2 linked regions of the Mytilus edulis genome follow. The protein of the gene in region 2 purifies or fractionates together with the protein of the main gene of each other region. This does not show direct contact. Links are inferred from orthologs where the notes say so. Each region holds a gene or a part of one and is shown on either strand. Other genes may lie near its edges.

What was found.
Region 1: the proteins of non-lysosomal glucosylceramidase-like (region 2) and 2-hydroxyacyl-CoA lyase 2-like purify together in Homo sapiens (co-immunoprecipitation; 3 studies listed by BioGRID and IntAct, counting the BioPlex papers as one, with this or other methods). This does not show direct contact. The link is inferred for Mytilus edulis from reciprocal best matches to the Homo sapiens genes GBA2 and HACL2.

What each region holds. Positions count from the first base shown.
Region 1 is NC_092350.1:93,317,725-93,325,006, reverse strand, and holds the start of 2-hydroxyacyl-CoA lyase 2-like, read right to left. Parts: upstream 3,083-7,282; 5' UTR 3,042-3,082; coding exon 2,907-3,041; intron 1-2,906. UniProt on the Homo sapiens protein: Endoplasmic reticulum 2-OH acyl-CoA lyase involved in the cleavage (C1 removal) reaction in the fatty acid alpha-oxydation in a thiamine pyrophosphate (TPP)-dependent manner. Involved in the phytosphingosine degradation pathway.
Region 2 is NC_092347.1:28,764,387-28,771,467, reverse strand, and holds the start of non-lysosomal glucosylceramidase-like, read right to left. Parts: upstream 3,025-7,081; 5' UTR 3,024-3,024; coding exon 2,764-3,023; intron 1,642-2,763; coding exon 1,553-1,641; intron 364-1,552; coding exon 248-363; intron 1-247. Other genes in the region: electron transfer flavoprotein subunit alpha, mitochondrial-like, read left to right, coding at 3,082-3,123. UniProt on the Homo sapiens protein: Non-lysosomal glucosylceramidase that catalyzes the hydrolysis of glucosylceramides/GlcCers (such as beta-D-glucosyl-(1<->1')-N-acylsphing-4-enine) to free glucose and ceramides (such as N-acylsphing-4-enine).

The sequences.
Region 1 (7,282 bases), on a different chromosome or scaffold from region 2:
AGATAAATATAGATTCTACCACTGCATCGAGTGTGATACAATATTCATCCACTCAAGACAGTTAAATTTTCAAATTTAAAATGGGAGGCTTGCAGAGTGTTTTAAATATTTAAAATTTAATTGTCGAGAGTGGATAAATATCGTATTATACAAGGTTTGGTGGTGGAATCTGTTTCTCTAATGATTTTGAAACAATAGGCAAGCAAACTTATTGCTTCTTTGCGACTGATCTGCAAAAAGATGTGTTCATTCTATGTGACGTCATCAGGCATGGTCGCCTTTTTTCATGCCGTCACAAAAGGAAATTCGGAGGAAAACAAGAATATTCGACTTCATAATAATATTTTAACCAATGAAGAACTGAAATTAAACAAACCACAAGTTGATTAAAAAATTTTATACAATGGGTGCAGAAAGGGATAAATTGACATAGTATTAGAAATATATATACAAAACACTGGTTTGTATTAATTTGATTGTTAGCTACAAAATGAATTCAGAATTATGATAAGAAATTTCTTCAGATTATGAAGTTGCAGTTAATATTCAAGTATTTACTTCTAAACTTGCATTTAGTGATTCAAATTTATAGATAATTTTTGTACTCATTTTATTTGGTATGAAATTATAATAGTTTTATGCCAAACAACACAATCATTATCTGTTTTATGTCTTATTTTGTACTCATTTAAAAGGGGAGCTGTTTGTGCAAGTCAATGTAAAAGAATGTTTTTAACTTTTTTGTCTTTGTAAGTGAATTATTACATGCAATGACATGTATTAGATTTATTTTTCAATCTTAATTTTCTAAAGCATTTGCTGTAAACATGGTAAAATAACTAAATAATGCAATCAATCTTGATCAAGTGTTTTCTCTCATTCAATTGATCATAATTGCTAAAAATCGCTGCGGCTAGAGAAACAACAATAAATTATCACAATGGCGGGGATTATTTGGGAGTGGCAGCAGATATTTCAACTGGGCAGTTGCTATCATAAAACCAGTCATGGAGATCCCTAAATTTGAAAAAGTGATCATGAATGGAATCTTAAAATAATTGTTTAATCAGTATTCAATTTGGATCCCAATAATTTACAACACATTCCACTAATGGAAATTCTAATCACTGCTTTCTTTTGACTGTTTACTAGTCATTGCTAGTTAGCTTTTGTGAAGGCAGTATCCTCTTCTGCAACAGAGCGTCATGATGATCAATTTTTGTCATTCGGACTGTGAGGTTATTGGACTATCTAACATGTCTAAGTATCAGGCAAGTTCTACTCAAATGGCATCTGGATAAATCAGCACCTGGTATAATCAAATCGTGACCTAGTCAAATTTGCACCTGTTTAAATCAGCACCCCATGTAGTCATTTCATGATCAGCACCCATGACATTCGTGATGAATATGTTGAATATATATATATTTTTTCAGTATTTTTTTTCCTTATTTGTGAAGATCAAAACAAGGAAGTGTTCTTCTTCTTGTTGTCCAGAAATATTCACTAATTAACATTTTTGGGGTTTCTGTATGTATTTTTTTTTAGTTCAACTTTATGTGTATTCAAGGAATTGGATATTTTGTTATACCAGTTGAGTATTACGCATGATGATTGGTTTAATGCTTTTTAAACATTTATTGTTAAACTTTCGTGAAATACAACCTTTATTGCTGACTATTTTGCATCTGAGTTGATTAGTTGTGTTAGTGATATTTTTCCCTTTTATTGCTTCTAATTTTCTCCTGATTAAACAATGCTTAAATGATCAGTAATAGCTACACTGTTTTGTATTTAAATTAGGAAGAAAAAACATCTAGGTCTACCTGTGTAGAGTTAAAACAACAAATATATTGATTATATATATATAATTGATAAGAAAACTAATCAAAATATCAGTCATAAAATGTTTAGATTTGATTTTGATTTTTTGTGTTTTAACACCATTTTTAAGCACAGCATTTAGGGTTAGGTTTTTTTACTAGCGTATTGGCAGCATACAGGATTTTTTACCACGCCCAGTGTATGTCGGAGCTATACACTAATGTGTGATGCCGGTATTAAACTAAGTTTGATTGTAGCGGTTATCTTGTTTGCAGGTTAAAGAATGTTGGAAATATCTTTGAAAGGGGAACACCTATAGCTATGGACCATTTAACCAAAGTTTCGTCCTAATTGGCCCACTGGTTCCAGACAAGAAGATCTTTATGTGAATTTTCCATATTATCCTAGTATGTTTAGCTAAGTTCAGCTGTGGTGGACATCTTGGTAGGAGACAAAGTTTTAGGAACGGGACCATCCAAGCAGAGGCACATGTCTTAGAAAAAAAATCATATATACCATGTATACCTTATTATAACACAAGTTACTATATATTAGGTTTTTTGAAAAACACACTCGGTCGTGAAATTCTGATTTATTTCGATTTCTCAGTTGCCAAACCTACTTAAAATTTATTATGTCCTTTATCTAAATTGATTTATCTACACAGTGTGGGGGGATTATCTGTGAAATAAGTTAAAAACAATAACATGAATAACAGGGATTCAGTTTTGGAAAAGTAAGGTGGAAAGCCAGGTAGAAAGTCTAGTGCCTGTGATTAGTCTGTATCATATCTGGTTGTACATGTTGTATATGTCAGCCTATCAAAACGTCAGACTATAGAACTGTCGGACTATAGAACTGTCAGACTGTCGAGCGGACCCATACCGCCTATTGAACAGTCAGACTATTGTCGGAATTTGGGGTTTGTCGGTATACAACAAAGCTCCAACAGTAACTACTACTAGCATGACCAGAAGGTTAGACATTGTTAGAAGGTAAGTAGGGATGATAGACATCATTGAACTGGCTAGGTAGGATTTGTGAGTGAGACGTGGGGTTCAGTAGAAAATAAGTTTATTTGCCTTGTTAAACAACTGGTAAATTATGCCAAATTTTCTTAAAACAAACAGAGCTCCAAATGCTGCCGCTGACACACTGAATGGGAGAATACAATTCTTTAAAACTCTTGAATAGGTGTCTGATTCTGTGCTCCCCATAGTGGACTTTAAACCTGTATCTTTTGATTGATAAATCTAGAGAGACACTTTTGATATACTGTTGCCTCTGAGGACCATTTAAAGTACAGCTTAATCCCAACCAAGAAAAATGAGTGCGCAGCTACGTACGTGTATGTCAACACGCTCCGGCGTATACATACATTGATTTAGGAGAGAAAAACAATAGACAATGGCTATTATGCCGGAACCGGCAAAGACGAGCTCTGATTAAAATCTATTAATTCAAACTAGAAAAATAGCATATTTCTCAAGAAATATAGTGAATTTGTTATTTTGTCGGTCCCGCTTTGTAAAGAGTGAATCTTGACATTTACTTGTGAAAAGTGCTAATAATATATGCACTGTCATCATTAAAATATCAAATATAATTACTGATATACCAGTACTAAGTTGAATAAGAAAACAGCTATCAACATATTAATCTGTATTTCACACATGCTATATCCTATATATATATGAGTGTAATATCTTCTCTGTAACTATGTATTTGGATTATGAGAATAAAGATAATTTTTTCATTCAATATATTCGTTTCTCCTCCTTCTTCCATGTAAGGAACTGAATTCAATATTTGAATGTATGCGGTCCCGCGAAAACTAACACAATGTCGGACATAACAGAAAGTTTTCTCTTGTCTATTTACAGGATAAAACGTTCTCTATATATATACAATTAAAACATTTATCAGTCATTTGTTGCAATGAAATCATATCTAATCATGTACAAAAATATTTCTAAAATCAGTCAATTTTAAGCTACATCATATGCATAAGAATAAAATCTCAGATTTTTTTAACTGTATGTTATAAAAAAAAAAAAAAAGTTAAAAATCTCATTGCATCATAAATTTGATAAAACATTATATACAAAGGAGTAGGTTCGGTAAGGCCCCTTTTTGGCCCGAAAATATAGCAGTTTTACAAAATTGTGATAATGTAATCGTTAAGCTATTTATTGGAAAGTAGAATGATTCTGCTACATAAGTATTGGCTGTTTTTTGACAATACAATGCACATATATCGGTACTGGCATCATAAAGTCATGCTAAATTACTTCATAATCTTCATAATTTTAGCACTTTAGTAAAATTTTAGACGGTTTCTGTCTAAAATGAAAGTGGCCGCATTCGTGTTCATTCATAATATTGAAATGTAGGTTGTATTTGATGATAATACATAATATATATGAAGGTTGAGGATGAACACGGATGCGGCCACATTCATTTTTGACAAAAACCATCTGAAAAGTGACGATTTTTGCAAATTTGATAGATTTTTCATATTTAAGCTTGAATCTTGAATGCCTTAATCAGTTGAAATCTTTCACAAAAACTAATTGAATCAATTAAAATAGACACTTAAAAAGTGTCTAAAATATTTCGTCAGATGAACTTGAAAATTGAGGCAAAAATTGGCCCTTACTGGACCTACTCCCAGTTTGCCAAAACATTTATGATTGCACTCAATGTAAAAGTTGCAGGCTATATATATATATACAGATATGCATAAGTAATAACCATAAACCACAAATAACTTTGTGACTTATGGTGATAAACCCACTTGCATGAAAACTAAATCTACACCAAAAGATAACCAAAATAAAATGAAAAAAGAACAAGAAGAATGCTGAGTATAAAGAGTATAAATCATATGGTTCCCTGTATCAATAGAAAACATACTTGAATATCTTTTTATGGTTTCTCTGTCTACCTTGTCTTATTTTTATTCCGATTTTTAAACAGAATTATTTTCACAAATCGTGTTTGCTTAATATGTTATTCAACTGATTGAAATGTTGACAGTGAATCGATTATTTGTAAAAATTGGAAAGAGCACACCGATAATGAATCATTTTTTAAAAAGTCTGATTTTTAATGAAAATGCAATACAAAGTCCAAATCACAACTGTAAATCAGAGTACAGTCCTAGTCATTCTAACACGATTGATAATACTTAAATCAGAGTACAGTCCTAGTCATTCTAACACGATTGATAATACTTAAATCAGAGTACAGTCCTAGTCATTCTAATACGATTGATAATACTTAAATCAGAGTACAGTCCTAGTCATTCTAACACGATTGATAATACTTAAATCAGAGTACAGTCCTAGTCATTCTAACACGATTGATAATACTTAAATCAGAGTACAGTCCTAGTCATTCTAATACGATTGATAACACTTAAATCAGAGTACAGTCCTACCCATTCTAACACGATTGATAATACTTAAATCAGAGTACAGTCCTAGTCATTCTAACACGATTGATAATACTTAAATCAGAGTACAGTCCTAGTCATTCTAACACGATTGATAATACTTAAATCAGAGTACAGTCCAAGCCATTCTAACACGATTGATAATACTTAAATCAGAGTACAGTCCAAGCCATTCTAACACGATTGATAATACGTACTTAAATCAGAGTACAGTCCAAGCCATTCTAACACGATTGATAATACTTAAATCAGAGTACAGTCCTAGTCATTCTAACACGATTGATAATACTTAAATCAGAGTACAGTCCTAGTCATTCTAACACGATTGATAATACTTAGATCAGAGTACAGTCCTAGCCATTCTAACACGATTGGTATTTTTTGTTTGCTCAACGACCAGGTGTAAATAGATGTATGCCAATGAGACAATCTCCATCCAAGTCTCAATTTGTAAAAGTAAACCATTATAGGTAAATTAAAGTACTGTCGTCAACATGGAGCCTTGGGGACAGCAAGACATAACGGGCCCCAAAAATGACTAGTGTAAAACAATTCAAACAGGAAAACGAATAGTATAATCTGTATAAAAAACCGAGAAACACTTATGAATCACATTAACAAACGACAACCCGACTGAACATTAGGTTACTGACTTACAGAGCTTATGTTGTATTACATATAACAGACTTTAAATAAATATTTTATGCTTTATGCATGCAAACAAATAAAATTGAGAATGGAAAAGGGGAACGTGTCAAAGAGACAACAACCTGCTCATAGAAAAAACAACAGCAGAAGGTCACCAACAGGTCTTCAATGTAGAGAGAAACTCTCGCACCCGGAGGCGTCCTTCAGCTGGCCCCTAAACAAATATATACTATGTCAGTGGTAATGAACGCCATACTAATTTTCAAATTGTACACGAGAAACCAAAATTAAAAAATGCAAGACTAACAAAGGCCAGAGGCTCCTGACTTGGGACTGGCGCAAAAATGCGGCGGGGTTAAACATGTTTATGAGATCTCAACCCTCCCCCTATACTTCTAGCCAATGTAGAAAAGTAAATGCATAACAATACGCACATTTAAAATTCAGTTCAAGAGAGGTCCGAGTCTGATGTCAGAAGAAGTAACCAAAGAAAATAAACAAAATGACAATAATACATAAACAACAGACTACTAGCAGTTAACTGACATGCCAGCTCCAGACTTTAATTAAACTGATTGAAAGATTATGATTTCATCATATGAATATCAGACACAATCCTTCCCGTTAGGGGTTAAGTATGATACCATCATAACATATATGAGAAGAACAAAACCCGTGTCATGCCAACAACTGGTTTTTTATTTCATGTGTTTAGTTCCGATGCAAAGACCCTATAAGTGAATCAATATTAACTCCAAAATAAGCAATCTTTAATGACCTGACAACAGCATCGTAACTATATCCCTTCTTGATAAGTCTATTAAAAGGTTTTGTTAGTTTTTGAGGTGAAAACACACACATATATATATATATATATATTAAGACAAATATAAACAAGTCTAAATTGAAACTCGATCAAACCTATGTTGGATAAAAACCGCAATTTTTATTCGTGTGCATGTAAAACAAATTTCGTTGCAGAAGGGTCTAAATACAGCACAAACAACATTTCCAAAAGATCAAAACAGTGAAAAAGTATTTTTTAAACAAAACGCATTTGACTAACAGGTCGAACACTTGATGTTCTTTAACCCTGCTGACTGCCATTGGTGATTGCCAAATGAAATTGATTACAAGATGTAACAAAATAGATCCTAATACAAATTTAATACTAAACAGAAAACAATAAAGTTGTGTCCAAGATGTTATGCCACAAACATAAGGTGTCAATATTTTTTTTGTGTACACCAGATCCGGATTTCGACAATAAATGTCTCTTCAGTGATGTTAGGGATCGAAACGGTATTTGGAAGGCCATTTAATTTACCCACAATTTAAGAAAGACTCTTGAAT
Region 2 (7,081 bases):
AACACTAAATTTCATACATGGTCAGAATTTGTAACAATATATTATAGGTATTCAGTTAACAAAAAGTTCAAAATCTGAATTTAAGGAAGTTTTGATATGTAAATGTAATACCGTAGAAAAATGTGGCAGAACTTTTATGGAATGAACAGATGGACAAACAGATGGCATACACCAGAATAGCATTATACCACTCTCATTAGGTTTGACAATGGTAGGTCATGAAGATTGCAGTTATTATTGTACTTACAGAATTTGCTGGTACAATAGTATGTTCATATATCCCTGGCACCATCTGAAATCTACAAAATTCACCTCGGTAACCACGACCAATGGTCCCACACCCTATACCACCTATTGGACAGCCTGTAAAATATGTAACAGTTTATCTTAAGAATTCTTCTTACAATACAAGATTAAAGGAACTTCTATTTCTTGACACCACAATCCATACCACTAATAAGACAACCACTAAACATATTATGAAATATCTACAAAATTATTAAAAAAATCCTCAACCATGCACTTGTAATAAATATACATAAATGATATAGTTACTGTAAATTCAGAAATTATTGCCGGCATTTACTATTGTGATTTTGTCATTTTAGACTTAAATGTGATTTCAATTTTTAGGATATTGAGAAAAAAATTATATAAAATATTTCAAAATGCTAGTTTAAATTATTGCGTTTACAACTTTGTTGCATTTTTCGCAATAATAAAAACCTCACAATAATTTCTGAATTGACAGTAAACCAACACAACTTTCCCAGGCAGAAACAGTCAATTGGCCCACAACTTACATTGCCATACAGAAATCATGCAAAATAAACAAGATTAAACCATTCCACAATCTATATCCCTTATAAGACCACCTGCAAAATATGTACAAGTATATTTAAAGAATTCTCACTAGAAAAAAGTCCTACAAATATTGTATTATTTCATCATATCTAACATGTCGAACTCATTCTAAGTTACGGGACCTGAATTTAGTATGTATCAGTTTTACCCATTTAATATGACCTGTGACCTTTATTTCAGGTTTATTGTTAAAACCTGACCTGTCAAATTTTCTCTGACAAGCTATCTTTTTGGGGTTTTTTTTTTTTATCATTTGTTTACTGTCTCATTGACAGATATTTAACATGTTATTGAAACGTCACAAAAAAGTTACCATGTTTGTCGACATAAAAGCAGATCATCAAGAAAAATTTTGAGCAATACAATGCGTCTCCAATTCTAGATATTAAAATTGATTGACGAGTCTCAAAATAGGAAAAAAATCCTGTCAGAATTTTTTGGTATATAAATCACCCTTCAAAACTATTGTCAATACTATGGTGGTCAGTTTTTATTAGTTTTGAAGCCCAGGTCTCTGAGCAGAACCACTGAGGCAAGTTTCAGTAGGAAACCTGATACCACATTGTGGACAGACTAGTGAAACAGTAGATAAACTCCTTAGACGACTCAGATACCAAGACTTGATGCAGTGGTCCACTCAATTTGGGGATTCAGTTAAACACAAACTATGTCTTCTGTTAATTCTTACCATAAATAGGCTTGTGAGTAACTTGATTGAGATGATCTATAAACATTATTCTTCCCTGTCTTTTGTGCTTTATCCATACTTTCATATATCTGTAACAACCAACAGTACAAAGTTTTAGACTTTCCGACATTCAATAACATTTTTCTGATAAATAGATTAATTGTTGTTTGCAGTGGAAAATATTTCATGATGTTACGATTTTGTCTTGCATCATGCCACCAACAGACACATAAGAATTCTTTTAACCTTTGACATTTACCGTAAGCATTTTAGAACTAAACTTATGGAAAATACACTATCCAAGTTCAGGGGCGGATCCAGTCCTTTTAAAAAGGGGGGGTTCCTAACCCAGGACAAAGGGGGGGTTCCAATTACATGTCCCGATTCAAATGCATTGATCGTCCAAAAAAAAGGGGGGGTTCCAACCCCCAGAACCCCCCCTCTGAATCCGCGCCTGAAGTTCAACATTCAATGAATAGAGCATTTGCATCAAGGCTCATATAAAGGCCATATTGGAATCATATTAAAGAAATTGCTTGAAAATTTCCTGGTGTATTTCTGTTAAACGGTATCTCTCTATATAAGTCATCTGACTTGCCAAGTGTAAAAAAATACAAAATTATTGTAGGAAAGGTTTTGTAGAAACACAATTTTGTGATAAAAAGGAACATTTTCTGGCAAAAGTAATGTCATCCACATACATGTATGTTAGAAACAGACCAGATGCTGTAATAATATAGAAAAAGAAATTATGTGATATGTGCCTTGGAATATAGATGGCTGCAACGTAAACAAATAACAAATTTCAGAAGTTTTTTCATCCAATTCAAATCCCTGACACAAATTTCTTTCTTAATCTTGTTCATTCAAATAAAATGTTATCATATACAAGCAAAGATTCCATGATTTCCAGTTATAGGAAATGTTGTGCATCCTGGACTAATCAGTCTATTTTTGCAACATGTGCAATGAGGCAAAAGAACGGTACAATTTAGCCAACAAATTTTTAAAGAAACAAACATAAATCTTTCTTGATTTGTCTAGAAGGAGCATGCAATTTTGATGCATGTGCAACAGCACCTTTCCACAAAGTACCTTGCCAGTCTTTATGCATGTTTAAAAACTTGAAACACCCTAGTAAATTCGTACCTATAACCATGTTTAATATGTGGCATAATGTACAATGTCTGGTCACAATGTAAAACGTTTACCTATAGCTAAGACCAATTAATTCAGGAATGTGGGTGAGTCTGGGTTTTACAAATGGATCACATTTGTCCTTGCATTCATGTTCGAAGTTTACTCTCCAACCAAATTTGGGGACATTGGCAATGTCCTCTTTTGGTGTAGTTATGCTAGCTTCGGGGGAATGGTCTATATGTTGAGGTTTTGGCATCTTGCACTTGAAGCCTTGAAGCAAGCAGGGAAGCAAGTCAGTCTTGACCAATACGAATGTCGTTTCTGCCCGCATTTGTTTTAATATTTCAACAGTCCGATTACTTCCGGGGTAAAAATATTGTTGCATAAAAATGTTTTCGAGGTGCTGCAGAACAAAATTAGCTAATCAGACGGTAAACTAACGATAATACTTTTTTTGCATATCATTTTAAAGAGTTATCTTTATTATTTGTGTATATATGTTTTTATAAAGATTGATAATGCGTCACTTTGCAACTTTGACCTTTGATTTTTGTAAAATTATCAGATTATATAAATGAAATATTCCATTTAACCAGTCAATGTCCCACAAGGACAGTTTACAAACAACAGTTTTCATTTAATTTTTACATAACATAAACTTAGAAATAAAAAAATATATACATGTATGCATATACAGCAAGAACAGCATGTACAGTGTTGGTGTTAGTATCATGATTATAAGGATTATGTACGCTTGGGTATCGGGATCGTTCGCTCTGATTACATGTTTGCCCTAGGTTCGTTCGCACTGAGTTTGTTCGCCCTGGGTTCTTTCGCCCTATTTTCATTTATGATATATATGTACAATGGATACGTTACATTAATGATGAAATAAAATATATATATTAAAATTTGGGTTACACTAAAGACCTGAAAGTGGACCTGAAAAGACCTGAAAAGACCTGAAAATATACGACTAAAATTATTCAAATTGCAATAACTTTTTTATTATTGGATGGAATTTCTTCAAGTTGGAATTTTATTAATTGTAAATATTCAGATTTCATTCAAATTAAAAAAAATTAAATAAAAAACAATTTTTTGATGCCAAAAGTTGGACCTGAACGGAGAAATGAAAAGACCTGAAGGGACCTGAAAATCTATGTCGGACTAATTCTAACTACAATAACTTTTTTAATATTCAATGGATATCTTTCAACTTTTGTTTTTGTGACACAAAAAGTTCAATATAATGATAAAATTAAAAAAAAAATATGAAAAATACCATTTGGGTGTGAAAACTCGGAACTGAACGGAAAATTAAGGAACATAAATTTGCTTGAAAAGACTGCGGTCAGATTTATTCAATATCTTTAACTGTTTTCAATCATTCTCCTTGAAATATGAATTTTGTTATAGGAAAGGTATAATATATCAATGAAATTATAAAGAATTTTATCGAAAATATAATTATTTAGTTACAAAATTCGGACCTTGTCGGTGAAATAAAAGACATGAATGGATTATAGGGGTAGTTGTATTTAAACTCGCAAAACATTGTTTTCCTATTTGTTTCTATTTTAGACAAAAGTCTATTGAAGAGAACGAATGACTTTATATTTATACAGGAACATATTTGAAAACAAAGTACATTGTTATTGATGAATCCTGAACCTAAGGGGAAAAAAGAGGAAGATTGTACGTTGAAATTATTCAAACTAATACAACTTGTTTAAACTACATTAATATATATTTTATTCTTATTCTATATTAAAGCTGGTCGTAAACTGCTTTATTTATAAAATGAAAGTATTAGTATTGCTTCCCCATAAACCATATGTCATTTAAAGAGTTCGTCGATTGGAATGTTTTAATTACACGAACGTGTGCCGGTTGTAATTCACACCTTGTTTTGATATTAGGTGATAATTGGATCATTAGTCTAAATAAACATTTCACTTTAATCTTCTAATTGGATTATCACTTTATCTTGTTACACGAACTAAACATTGCTCGGTCACCAATTAAAGTATAGTATAGATCTGTACGAACACAATTTTTACCAAAGTACTATTGTCATTGGCCTAATAATATCAAACTATTAAATTTACTACAAGCTTCTAGTAAGTCTCTCACGATCAAATTATGTAATTATGTAAAAGCTGCATTGAATATTCGATCTTATATAGTCTCATAACTCAATTTATATGTCATTGTATTTTACTATTGTTCTCTGTTGTCTATTCATGTTTTATATTATGTAATATATGTTGTTAATTTTGCCATAGCCTGTCTATGCTTTGCAATAAAGATTCATTCATTCAAGTATAAACTTTACAAATTAAAAATATAAGCATATATCAAACTAATCAGTGAATTCAGATCAACGCTCTTACTTTTTATAAATTATAGTCAACTTTGAATCGTTTTTAGTCAGAATAAAAATATTCAACAAAGTGCGTACAAGTATAGTTTCCAACGTTATTATATATCAGCATGTCTCCTGCATTGCCATTACCTTTGCTAACTGAACACACCAGACTAACATCATACCGATCGAGACGCTATATATATCCAGGTTCATTCAGGACTTCATTTTTCATTCAACAGGTCCGACGTTTGTCACAAAGTGCAGGTTCCAGACTTGGGACACCACAAAAATTGTGACGGGGTTATTGTAGTTTAAAGACACCAAACCTTTTTCTCAATTATTTATTTCTATGGTATATCTCTTTGACTTATAAGTTTTGACATCCGAGTTTTGATTATTCCTTGGTATCTTCAATCTTTATCATGTTAGTATCTCCTGTCAATAAAAAATAGGGAGATGTGGTGTGATACCAATGAGACAGATCTCTACAAGAGACCAAATGACATCGAACATGAAAAGTTATCAATCATATTTTTCGTCTATGTTTATTATTTTCGTTTTAAAATAATGTGGAATTTTAGGCTCATTCAGATTTTGAATTTTTCGTTCAGGTCCGAATTTTGACACCCCAACAATATTTTTCACATATTTTTTTTCATATTATCATTATATTGAACTTTTTGTGTCATAAAATCAAAAGTTGAAAGATATCCATTGAATATTAAAAAAGTTATTGTAGTTAGAATTAGTCCGACATAGATTTTCAGGTCCCTTCAGGTCTTTTCATTTCTCCGTTCAGGTCCAACTTTTGGCATCAAAAAATTGTTTTTTATTTAATTTTTTTTTAATTTGAATGAAATCTGAATATTTACAATTAATAAAATTCCAACTTGAAGAAATTCCATCCAATAATAAAAAAGTTATTGCAATTTGAATAATTTTAGTCGTATATTTTCAGGTCTTTTCAGGTCTTTTCAGGTCTTTTCAGGTCCACTTTCAGGTCTTTAGTGTAACCCTTAAAATTTATGTACATGTATATCTATTAAAAGTTAAATACAGAATATTAATGAAATAAAATTCTTGGCTGCATTGTTACACTTTATTTTATAATTACTTTTAATTACTGTTGATTGAATTTTGATTGCTGATAATTTGAAATCTTTGATATCACTGATTGTTATATGAATTGTCTTTGATGGATTAATAATGAAAATAACTTTTTTCTCAAATAAATTTTTTACAAAGTTATTGCCAAACTGTGACAAGCCGTCCGACAACCCACTAGACAACGTTCAGCCGCTGCAGTAAAGAATTTTAGATCAATTAACACTTTGAACTTTGAACACTTTCTTATGTATAACTTTAGTGCTCCTAATGTATCATTTTTATTGATCAAATCATGTGTGGAAATGTAAAGTAAAAGGATGTGTGATAGTGATTTTCTAGTAATGTAATTACATACAGATACTAACTTAGTTCTCAATAGTTCGTAAATATTCGGCAAAATTGTAGACTGACTTCAACATATAAAATTAAATACACACAACACAACACTATAATAAAAAATAAAAATCAGGGCAAACGGTCTCAGGGCGAAACGGAACAAGGGCGAACAGTAACTAGGGCGAACCGAAATCAGGGCGGACGGACTATACGCTTGTGTTGATTTATAGGTCATTTCTGGAATCATGTCTTTCACCAAAAAAAGATCATCAATTTGTCAGTCTTTAAGACATCATGTCCGAGATAAAAGGCACGTCTATATCCCTGCTCTATTAAAAGTTTCAAGCATCTTCATAATCGTCATTCTGTAGGGTTGTATACATGTACATGAAATGGTACATGTATAGAAATAATTTATGTTCCGTAAGTACCTAATCTTGATTCCTGTACAACTGAGGGAGGGTGACCATCTTATTAGATTTTAATTAAACAAATAATTATGGACCAACTCATGTACACCTTCAATTTTGTGACTCAGCATGAGGTTTTTTTGGAATTTATAGGTTGTTAAGAAC